Linked DNA regions of Mus musculus: region 2 is reported to be linked to region 1. The links are microRNA targets in miRTarBase. Many come from high-throughput screens and were not tested one by one. Region 1 holds a microRNA gene; the other region holds the end of a gene's coding sequence.

Region 1 (5,000 bases):
CAGTTGGAAGTGTCCCTTTTCTGGAAGGATCCAGAAAAGGCAAACTTAAAGCCAGATGAAGAGGTCAGGTAACTGTTGGCATTAGGCAAACACTGAGCTCATTGGGGTTCCGCTTAAATGGTAGGAATGAAAGCCTGGAAGGATACGGTGAGTTGAAAACCTGAGATGAGATCCAGTATTCACCTATTTTTTAAAGACAAGTACACTGTAGCTGTCTTCAGACACGCCAGAAGAGGGCGGCAGATCCCCTTACAGATTATAGATGGTTGTGAGGCACCATGTGGTTGCTGGGAATTGAACTCAGGAGCAGTTCATCTCTCCAGCCCTCCCCCCCCCCCCATAGGGCTACAATGTACTTAATTAGTAATTATCAGGTAGAGGGTTTTTTTTTCCTCTTTTTTTTAATTAGGTATTTTCCTCGTTTACATTTCCAATGCTATCCCAAAAGTCCCCCATACCCACCCCCCCAATCCCCTACCCACCCACTCCCCCTTTTTGGCCTTGGCGTTCCCCTGTACTGGGGCATATAAAGTTTACAAGTCCAAAGGGCCTCTCTTTCCAGTGGTGGCTGACTAGGCCATCTTTTGAGGTAGAGGTTTTACTACTTGAATTTACTACAGAATTTGCACTTGCCTGACAGACCAGCTTTAAAAACATCCTTACTGATGTCAGTGAGATGGCGTCCTGCAGCAGGAATTCCTGCAGCAGGAAGGTTCAGGTGACAGGGGCATTTAGGCACTTTACAGTTTGGCATTTTTGTTTTTTCCCCTCTCAGAATGGAAACTGAAAACCAAAAAACTATGGAAGAAAGCACTAAGAGAAAAGAAGAAAAAAAGAAGCGCTCCCGGGTTAAACAGGTGCTTGCAGATATTGCTAAGCAGGTGGACTTCTGGTTTGGAGATGCAAACCTTCACAAGGACAAGTTTCTGCGAGAGCAAATTGAAAAGTCTAGAGATGGATGTAAGTTTTTTGTCTTTGTTGGAATTTCCAACTCACATTTATATGGGGCCAGAGCCTCCTGAGAGCTCAGTACTGTATATGTTCATGACACACAACTGCATGTTGAACTCGTGCTTGTTTGCACACATGTATATATTCCAGTGTTTAACATCCCACTATCCTATTTACTAGATGTGGACATTTCTCTCCTGGTGTCTTTTAACAAAATGAAGAAGCTGACAACTGATGGGAAGCTAATAGCCAGAGCATTGAAAAGCTCATCTGTTGTAGAGGTAAAAAACTTACATTTCAAGTCACCCACATCCAATTAACTACTGACTTTATTTAGCTTTCCTTTTTTTTTCCCCCCTCATAAAGTTGGACTTAGAAGGGACCAGAATCAGGAGGAAAAAACCCCTAGGTGAGAGACCAAAGGACGAGGAGGAACGCACGGTATATGTGGTAAGAAATGACACAAATTTTAATTCTAGTTCATTTATTTATAATTCATTTATTGGTAAAAATGTAGGAACTTTAAAATGTTCATACCATGATTTATTACAGGAGTTGCTCCCCAAAAATGTTACTCATAGCTGGATTGAGAGAGTATTTGGGAAATGTGGCAATGTGGTTTACATAAGTATTCCACATTACAAGTCTACTGGGGATCCTAAGGGATTTGCCTTTGTGGAATTTGAAACAAAAGAGCAAGCAGCAAAAGCCATTGAGGTACGTACTTCTGTGGGACCCTGAAAAGTAAAGAAAAAGCACAGGGTTAACAAGAGTAACAAATTCTGCAATCAATCTTTTCAGTTTCTGAACAACCCACCAGAAGAAGCACCTAGAAAGCCTGGTATATTTCCCAAGACAGTGAAAAACAAGCCCATCCCTTCCTTACGAGTAGCAGGTGAGTGCTTACTTAGAGTGGCCAAGTAAACAATAAACTATTATGACTGTAAATAATAAAATCTTGTTACAGAAGAGAAGAAAAAGAAGAAAAAGAAAAAAGGCAGAATAAAGAAGGAAGAGAGTGTGCAGGCCAAAGAGTCGGCCGTGGACAGCAGCAGCTCGGGCGTGTGTAAAGCCACGAAGAGACCAAGGACGGCCTCTGAGGGCTCCGAAGCAGAAACCCCGGAAGCTCCAAAGCAACCTGCAAAGAAAAAGAAGAAGCGGGACAAGGTGGAAGCATCCAGCTTACCTGAAGCCAGGGCAGGGAAGAGGGAGAGGTGCAGCGCCGAGGACGAAGACTGCCTCCCCCCAAGGCCAAAAGCTAAGAAAAGGGCTCAGAAGGATGGCGTCGGCCAAGCAGCTTCCGAGGTCTCCAAGGAGAGCAGAGGTACCGTGGCAGTAGGGTTACAAATGTTTTAACCAGTTTAACCACAACAACGGACTTACGGAAATCTTTTTTCTAGACTTAGAATTCTGCTCTACTGAGGAGGAGAAGGAGACAGACAGAAAAGGTGACTCACTCTCAAAGGTGAAGAGGAAGCATAAGAAGAAACACAAGGAGAGACATAAGATGGGCGAGGAGGTTATACCATTGAGAGTGCTGTCCAAGTAAGTGGCCACTGACACAGGTCCATCACCATTGCTAAAGTGCAATTCCAATTTCTATTCAACAGAGTTGCATGTTAGCAACAGTGACGGCCTTGGTCTATCTATATGCAGCACAATGAAGATTAAGTAGGAGCCACCACACTCAAACATGGAAGCACTTATTTTTAAATGCACAGCAAGTGCCTCCATGTTAAAGTAAAGGAGGCCCCTTAAGCAGACTTGAGTGGTCTTTACAAAGGCATGAATATAAAGGAAAACATACCATCACCAAAACATGGAAGCACTTACTTTCTTAGGTCTAAAGCAAGTACAACCACGTTTAAGTGGTGGGAAGCCCAGTCAATAACTCCCTTAACCTACAGCATCTTAGAGAAAATGTTGAACAGTTTAAGACACCCCCACTGAAACATGGAAGCACTTGCTTTTGTTTAACACAGCAGGTAACCCCATGTTAAAGCAGAGGGGACTCCCATCAGACTCTGAATTAAAAGGCTAGCTTTCTTATTCCAGAGTTTCTTGAATTCACTTCTACTAAAACATGGAAGCACTTACTCTTCGATGAGACAGAAAGCATTCCCATGTTAAAGTTGAAGGGAACCCACCCACAAGGCAACTAGTTAAAACAGAAGAGCAAACCCACAGGAAAGTAAAGTGACCCGGTTACAGACATAAGCTTTACCTCCTTTACCTTCGTGACCGCCTCCCAAAGAGTCCTGTTCTGTCCTCGGAGGGTGAAAGACGCCGACTTTAGACCACTTGTATTTATACTACTCCTAACTCCTGAGTTCCTTTTGGCTTTCTATCTCTGAGAATCATTACAAGACCCTTTGTTATTTTAATGTATCAGCTCTGGGGAAAGTAGGTCCTGGGGACCTGGGTAGGTCTGGATTTTTTTTTTTTTTTTCCTTTTTTGAAGTAAACAGATGTCAATGTTAACTGCTAAAACCATTACCACAAGATATCCTCCTCTTTAAAAAAAATCTCCTATCTGCCCGTTTGATGGCACAGATTAGGGTAACAATGAGCGCTCCCACAGAGCCAGGAGATGCATTGTGCTTCTCTGGAGGAGCCCTAGCTGTTTGAAGATACATCTACATGTTAAATGTATGTAAATAAATAAATTGCTTCCATGGGGTGTTTTTTTCTTCTTAGAAATTCCTTTTGATTCAAGTAAATCCTAAGGAATGTTAGCTCTCAAATTGGAAGCAATTTGAGAAATCTTTAAGTTTTAGTCTCTTACTTTTTCTCCAGGTTGCCTGATTTAGTGATTTTACTTAATAGAAGTGACTCAAAAGTGATTTTACAATTAAATATTAGAAGCAACCAGGAAACTCAAGCATTTTCCTTGCCTGTTAAGACAAAGAAACTTCCTTTGTGTGTTTGCTAGGTAGCTTTAACAAATGGCTTAACAAATAATGTAAACATATGCCTTAAAAGAAAGAAAAGTCAGAAAGACTTGCAGTTCCTATGAACATTGTGTTTAGATCAACTTCAGATTTCTAGTTGGGTCGTCTTATCACTGTAATGGCTCAATTTTTGTTTTTCAGGACTGAATGGATGGATTTGAAGAAAGAGTATTTGGCACTGCAAAAAGCTAGCATGGCTTCTCTAAAAAAAACAATATCTCAAATCAAATTGGAATCAGAAATGGAAACAGACTGTAAAGCGCCTAGTAAGTGTGCAGTGGGGAACGGAGAGGGTGACGCTCATGTAATGGAAGAGTGGGCTTTAGTCTATGAATGGTTTCAGGGGCAGTTTTATTGCAGTGATAGAGTGGCTTCCTCAGTTTTAAGCTGAACCATTTCCAAAAACAAAATGTTTTAAGAAAAGTAAAAATGTGAAGTTTTGTATTACACACTAGGTTTTAATAGTCTGTTTATTCTTCTCTACTTACCTGCGAGCTCACTTGTGAGTGCCTGGAGAGAGAAATAAAGACTGCAGGCTTAGTGGATGATGTTCAGCAAGCAGGAGCATATTAGAGCACTACTCTCGTTCATTGTAATATTAGTAAAGGTTTTAAGTTCTTGCAAATTATACAAATTCTCATATTTGAACAGTATACTTTGTGGCTGGAGAAATGGCTCAGTGGTTAAGCACACTGACTGCTCTTCCAGAGGTCCTGAGTTCAAGTCCTAGCAACCACATGGTGGGATCTGATACCCTATCCTGGAGTGTCTGAAGACAGCTGCAGCGTCCTCATAAATAAAATAAATAAACAAATTTTTTAAAAAATGAAATTGTTGAAGCCAGGCAGTGGTGGCTCATGCCTTTGATCCCAGCACTGGGGAGACAGAGGCAGGCGGATTTCTGAGTTCAAGGCCAGCCTGGTCTACAAAGTGAGTTCCAGGACAGCCAGGGCTATACAGAGAAACCCTGTCCCGAAAAACCAAAAAAAAAAAAAAAAAAGAATAGAATACTTTGAATAGTCTTATGTTCATATAGGCATACATCTTTATTAAGGCTTTATTCTTTGGTTTAGAGGTATAATGCCTTTTGTGCCATGT
Region 2 (5,000 bases), not on the chromosome of region 1:
CTGTGCACCCCAGGACACTGAGAAGCCTCTCTGGCCTCTGCCCACTAGACATAAGCAGCAGTCATTTTAAAGTGACAAAAAAATGCCTGTGGACATTGGCAAATGCCTCCTGGGGATGTGGCAGAAGTGGCTGAGGACCACTGGCGTATACAGGAGGCTTCTACGCAGCAAAGGCTGCATAAAAGCCCAACCTGAAATACTCGGTCTGGCCCTTCATAAAACAACACTGGCTAAGTATTTTGACAGAAAAAGGGCAAATGACATATTCTAGATGAAGACAACAAATTGCCCATGTGTAATATGATCTCCTAGGTGTGCTACAAAGTGAGACGGATAGCAATGTACAATTCACAGAAACAAAGCTCAAATGACCTGCAGGCCAGGGAGATGCTCCACCTCCCTAGCAGTCGAGGAAGTGCAAACAGAAGGCACATTTTCAGCCCTGGCTAACACAGTTGAGAAACACACACTGGTTCCTGCTGAGATGGCGGTGAGCTCCACATGGAAACAATAAAGCACCAAGTACATTTTAATTCTACTATGCTAAGGCAGGAAAGTAGCTGCCCTATAGAAACAGGCAGCAACCTGAGGTAATGCTTGTGTCCCGAACTCACATTGCTGATGGTGAAGCTAACATTTGCTGGGAAGAAGAGGCTGCACACACATGGCTTGTCTATGGTGAGATCGTTAGAGCGGTGAGTAGTGACGAGAACACCCCCCTTAGGACATTACCACGTGAGGAAAGGAGCCTGCATCCCTGTGTGCGCACAATCCCACTCAATACACTCTTCCTCACCCAACCCGTTACCAAGATGTCTAAGCTTGCGTGTGCATCTCAACCAGAGAGCGGAATTGCAGCATCCACTATCAGCACTTAACAGTGTACACATGTCATTCTCTAAATAAACCCCTGTAGGATATTTTTGGTTTGAGGTGCATCCTGATGCATACACTCGTCAGAGGACCGTCAAGTCTAACAAATATGTATATAGGAGCAGAACATTAAAAAGCTATCCTTCCAAGTCTGAAATCAGTACTAAAAGCACCCTCTAAAAAACTTCTATTTATTTAATTCCTATAAAATGTGCAAGTTCTCCTCTTAGAAGAATAGTTAAAATTTCTATATAGGTTTATTAATATACCAGTGCAGATTAAAACTCAGTTATCATTTCTGCCTTTTAAAAAGTCTTTGGCCAGTGGGATGCTGGACCAGTCAGTAAGGCACCTGCTGTGCAAGCCGAGGGCCTGACCTCCAAACACCCCCAAAACCCACACGAAAATAAAGCCAGGTGATGTGTGCACCTGCGTTTAATTCAGTGCTACGGAGACAGGCAAGTGGATCCCTGGGGTTCACTGGCCAGTTAGCTGAGCCTAATTGGTAAATCCCAGCTCCTGTGAGACCCTGCATCAGAAAACTGAAGCCAAAGGCTCCTGAGGCAGGACCCCTTAGCCTGACCGCTGGCCTGGCCTCCACACAAGTTGCACCCATGCCCACATGCTGCCTGACCTCTGTCACAACTGCTCTGCCGGAGCCTGTTTAGTAATTAGCAGCTTTCCCTCCTCATTGAGATGATGGGCAGGGCGGGGCAGATGAGCTCCAGGAGAGAGCAGACCAAGAGGAAGGACAAGGACCTTCACAGCAGGCTCTGCTAGTCTCCAGTGACTGCAGAGTCCTCTCTCACTCACTCATTAGCACTTCAACCAAAGTCCTTTGCACAAAGCACCACACCGCTCAATTACTGGGCTGCTGATACTACACGCTGCTGTAATCACAAAGTCCTCTAAGGCCGTGGACTGGCAACTAACCGACGTGACTTTAGATGCTGCCGCCCTTTTCCACATTGAAGAGGTAGAAGGTGTCTCAGCTGTCAAGTGGCTCAGTGTTAGGGGAACGAGTGTAGTTCCTTAAGCAGCTTCTCCTTGGCTCTAACTTCATTCAGGAAAATACTTTTCTAGGATTTAAGATACACTATAAAAGCAGAATATAAAAACACACTATCAAATACTCTAAGAAAATATACTACATCTTACTAAATTGAAGTTGAATATATATTTCAATAATATGGCTAAGAAAATAATTTGGAAAATAATGCTTTTCATTGTCAGATATACTATAAAAGGCAGAATACAAACATAAAATATGTTCCTGAAGCTGAATACATCTGAGTAAAAATATTTTTAAATGCTAAATTTCTCAGTGTTATGTATACTGTAAAGAGTTGAGTATTAATTTTCAGTGTCTGCATTTCTTATTCTGTAGGTCCAGGAGAAGGCGAGGTCATGGTTCCATGACACCACAATGTCGGTGACAATGTGTGTTCTATGGCAGTCTCAGCCTCAGAAAGCAGGCACCACCTGGTGGCACAGATGTGCTCCCTGCAGCCGGGAAGACCATGCCCCTGGATCTTGTTACTAAGCCCATGATGGTCTACTGCCCAGTCAGTCACACATGAGACCAAGGGCACAGCCAGAACCAATCACAGGGCCATAACACTGCAGGAGCATGGCTAACATCTGTCGACAGGTAGAACCTATGCTCTGCTCATTCAAGCCTTGTTTCATAAGAGCCTCATCTCCTGTACAACACTGTGTGCGTCTCACCTATTCCAAGGTTTAGTTTTGCCAAGTTGAATTTTGTTAGTTTCTTTTCTGTTGGAGCTGAGTAGTTATTTGCTCTTCTGTTACTTAGAATACTCACTGGGAATTACCAGGACTAGGCACTGTAACAGTACTGTATAAACAATAAATACAGAGTCCTAGACCTTCCAACCCCCACTGTTTACAAAGATGAAGGGAAGGTCATTTTTCTCAGAGTATAGTTTCAGTCACAGTGTACAAATTTCTTTTTTGGTTTTTCAAGACAGGGTTTCTCTATATAGCCCTAGCTGGCTTCGAACTCAGAAATCTGCCTGCCTCTGCCTCCCAAGTGCTGGGATAAAAGGTATGCGCTACCACACCTATTGGACCTTTAGATATAGATGTCTTTATATAGGCATTTAACACTCTCTATGGAGGCTTGGGTCTTAGCTAAAGCTTTACTGTTTTCCAGTTCTCTAGTGCACAGATCCATGGCATGGCTTTTGCTTATGAAAGTTCTGAGACTGCAACACATGTTGTCCAGGCTACCCCCTAACTAACTAGGTAGACCAGGATGGACTTGAATCCCTGTCCTGTGCTCCCCTCCCGAGGGCTGGGATTACAGGCTGTGTGTAGCACCACTCCTCACTCAGAGGCTTTAGCAATTCCTCCAGCCCCTTCTCATACTGACCTCACCACATTCCAGTTCTGACGCTTCTGACCAGCAGAAGGGTAAACTAAGAACGAAAGCTTTAAGTCTTTCTTCATAAGAATTCTGTAACAGTCAAAGGGACAAGGCAAGATGTCCCTCCAGTTACTGGACATATAAGGCTTTCCTCTTTAAGACTGTTAAAGTTTATGTAAAAGTTCACTATTATGAAAATAACAAAGAAAGCAGCTATATTTGTTATAATTTTTGTTTGTTTGTTTGTTTTACTAGAGAGTCTCCAAGCTAGCCTCAACTTGTGATCCTCCCTCCTACCTTTGGCTTCAGATGCTCATATTGCGTGGAACAGCATGCCTGCTGCACTTGGCACACTTTAGATACTAGCTGGATGCTATTCCACAATCTACACACAACCTCAAAGCGTAACTAGAAACACGGGGCTAACACTGCTACCCCACAGAAGAAAAGAATAGTTGGTAAATAACCTGCCCTGAATCATGAGGACATGTAAAAAGTTAGCATGTCCTTTCCACACTCCGCAGTCCAAATGGCTTTATAAAGTAGCAAACATTCCATGAGCGTAGAGTGGGATGAATGGCGAGTGTGCTGTGTTTTAGCAGAAGTGCAGCCTGAGGTATCACAGAGATTATGCAGTATAACGACTGACTTCTCTCCTCGGAGGGCTGGCCCGGGTGTGGGTGTGGAAAGGTTCCAACTGCTAATCTCTCGGACACACACACTGCCCTCCTCAGCTTGTCCCTGCTATGAATCCCGAGGCCTGCTTGTTTGGCTCCAGGCCACTGAGAGGCATTCCTCCTTCCTTTACATTCATGGAACTTAAGAGTTTTTCATCAACAAAAGCCTTATGATAAATTCTGAAACAAGTAGCCCCCTCCAATTTCTGGAGTTATAAGGTTTCTTTCTTGTAACACGTGTTCCATCACTTCTGGACCTAACGGGTCTTTTGAGTATGAATTCTAGCACCAATGAGAAACCCTGTATCTCGTTGTCTTCCCACATTGTTATCCACCACAGGGTTTTTAAACTGTATGGATTTTCTGATGGCAACTCATTCACTCCTCCGTCCTGTATGAATCCTCTGATGTTGGGTAAGGTGAGAGCCACGAATAAAGGCCTTCCCACATTGCTGGCACTTATAGGGCTTCTCACCGGTGTGGATTTTCTGGTGTCGACTGAGCTCTGAGCCTCGGCCGAAGGTCTTTCCACACTCTTTGCACTCATAGGGTTTCTCACCGCTGTGGCTTCTTTCATGATGTGTCAGCTCTGATCTTCGGATGAAGGCCTTCCCACACTCCTTACATTTGTGGGGTCTATCACCAGTGTGAACTTTCTGATGTCTAAAGAGCTCTGTGGTGCAAGTGAAGGACTTTCCACATTCCTTACACTTGTAGGGTTTATCGCCAGAATGGGCTCTCTGATGCCGGGCAAGTTCTGAACCACGACGGAAGCCTTTGCCACACTCCTTACACTTATAGGGCGTCTCGCCAGTGTGAACACTCTGATGGCGAAGAAGGTGTGAGTCAGAGATGAAGCCTTTCCCACACTCCTTACACTTGTGGGGCTTCTCCCCAGTGTGTGACATCTGGTGGAGAGCGAGCTGGGAGGCACAGCTATACACCTTGTCACAGTCCTTACACTCAAAGCGCCGTGCCCCAGCATGCGTGAGCAGGTGCAGGCTGAGCTGTGTGTCGTAGCGGAAGGCCTTCCCGCACTCCTTACACTTGTGAGGCTTCTC

Evidence for each region. Region 1 holds the annotated microRNA mmu-miR-302d-3p (UAAGUGCUUCCAUGUUUGAGUGU, at 2,635-2,657, opposite strand). A microRNA usually pairs through its seed, bases 2 to 8, with sites in the 3' UTR of a target mRNA and lowers its output. Matches are read on the target gene's strand: a 7mer-m8 pairs with bases 2 to 8, a 7mer-A1 pairs with bases 2 to 7 and ends in A, and an 8mer does both.
Region 2: miRTarBase lists Zfp568 as a target of mmu-miR-302d-3p. Seed matches in the 3' UTR shown: 7mer-m8 at 2,925-2,931.

The regions. Positions count from the first base shown.
Region 1 is chr3:127,543,322-127,548,321 of GRCm38, reverse strand. It overlaps Mir302d (microRNA 302d), which reads right to left and starts at 2,698; the gene lies at 2,633-2,698. It overlaps Larp7 (La ribonucleoprotein domain family, member 7), which reads left to right. Exons shown (of 13, transcript NM_138593.2): 2 at 776-960; 3 at 1,132-1,232; 4 at 1,318-1,401; 5 at 1,504-1,668; 6 at 1,753-1,846; 7 at 1,919-2,275; 8 at 2,352-2,496; 9 at 4,044-4,168. The coding sequence starts at 777. It overlaps Gm51018 (predicted gene, 51018), which reads right to left and starts at 3,233. Exons shown (of 2, transcript NR_146435.1): 1 at 3,176-3,233; 2 at 1,419-1,688. Mir302b (microRNA 302b) reads right to left here and starts at 3,094; the gene lies at 3,021-3,094. It also overlaps Mir302c, Mir302a and Mir367.
Region 2 is chr7:30,022,961-30,027,960 of GRCm38, reverse strand. Zfp568 (zinc finger protein 568) reads right to left here. Exons shown (of 10, transcript NM_001167872.1): 10 at 1-5,000. The coding sequence ends at 4,314. Among named protein-coding and RNA genes, the nearest start is that of Zfp14, 26 kb to the left of the region's middle.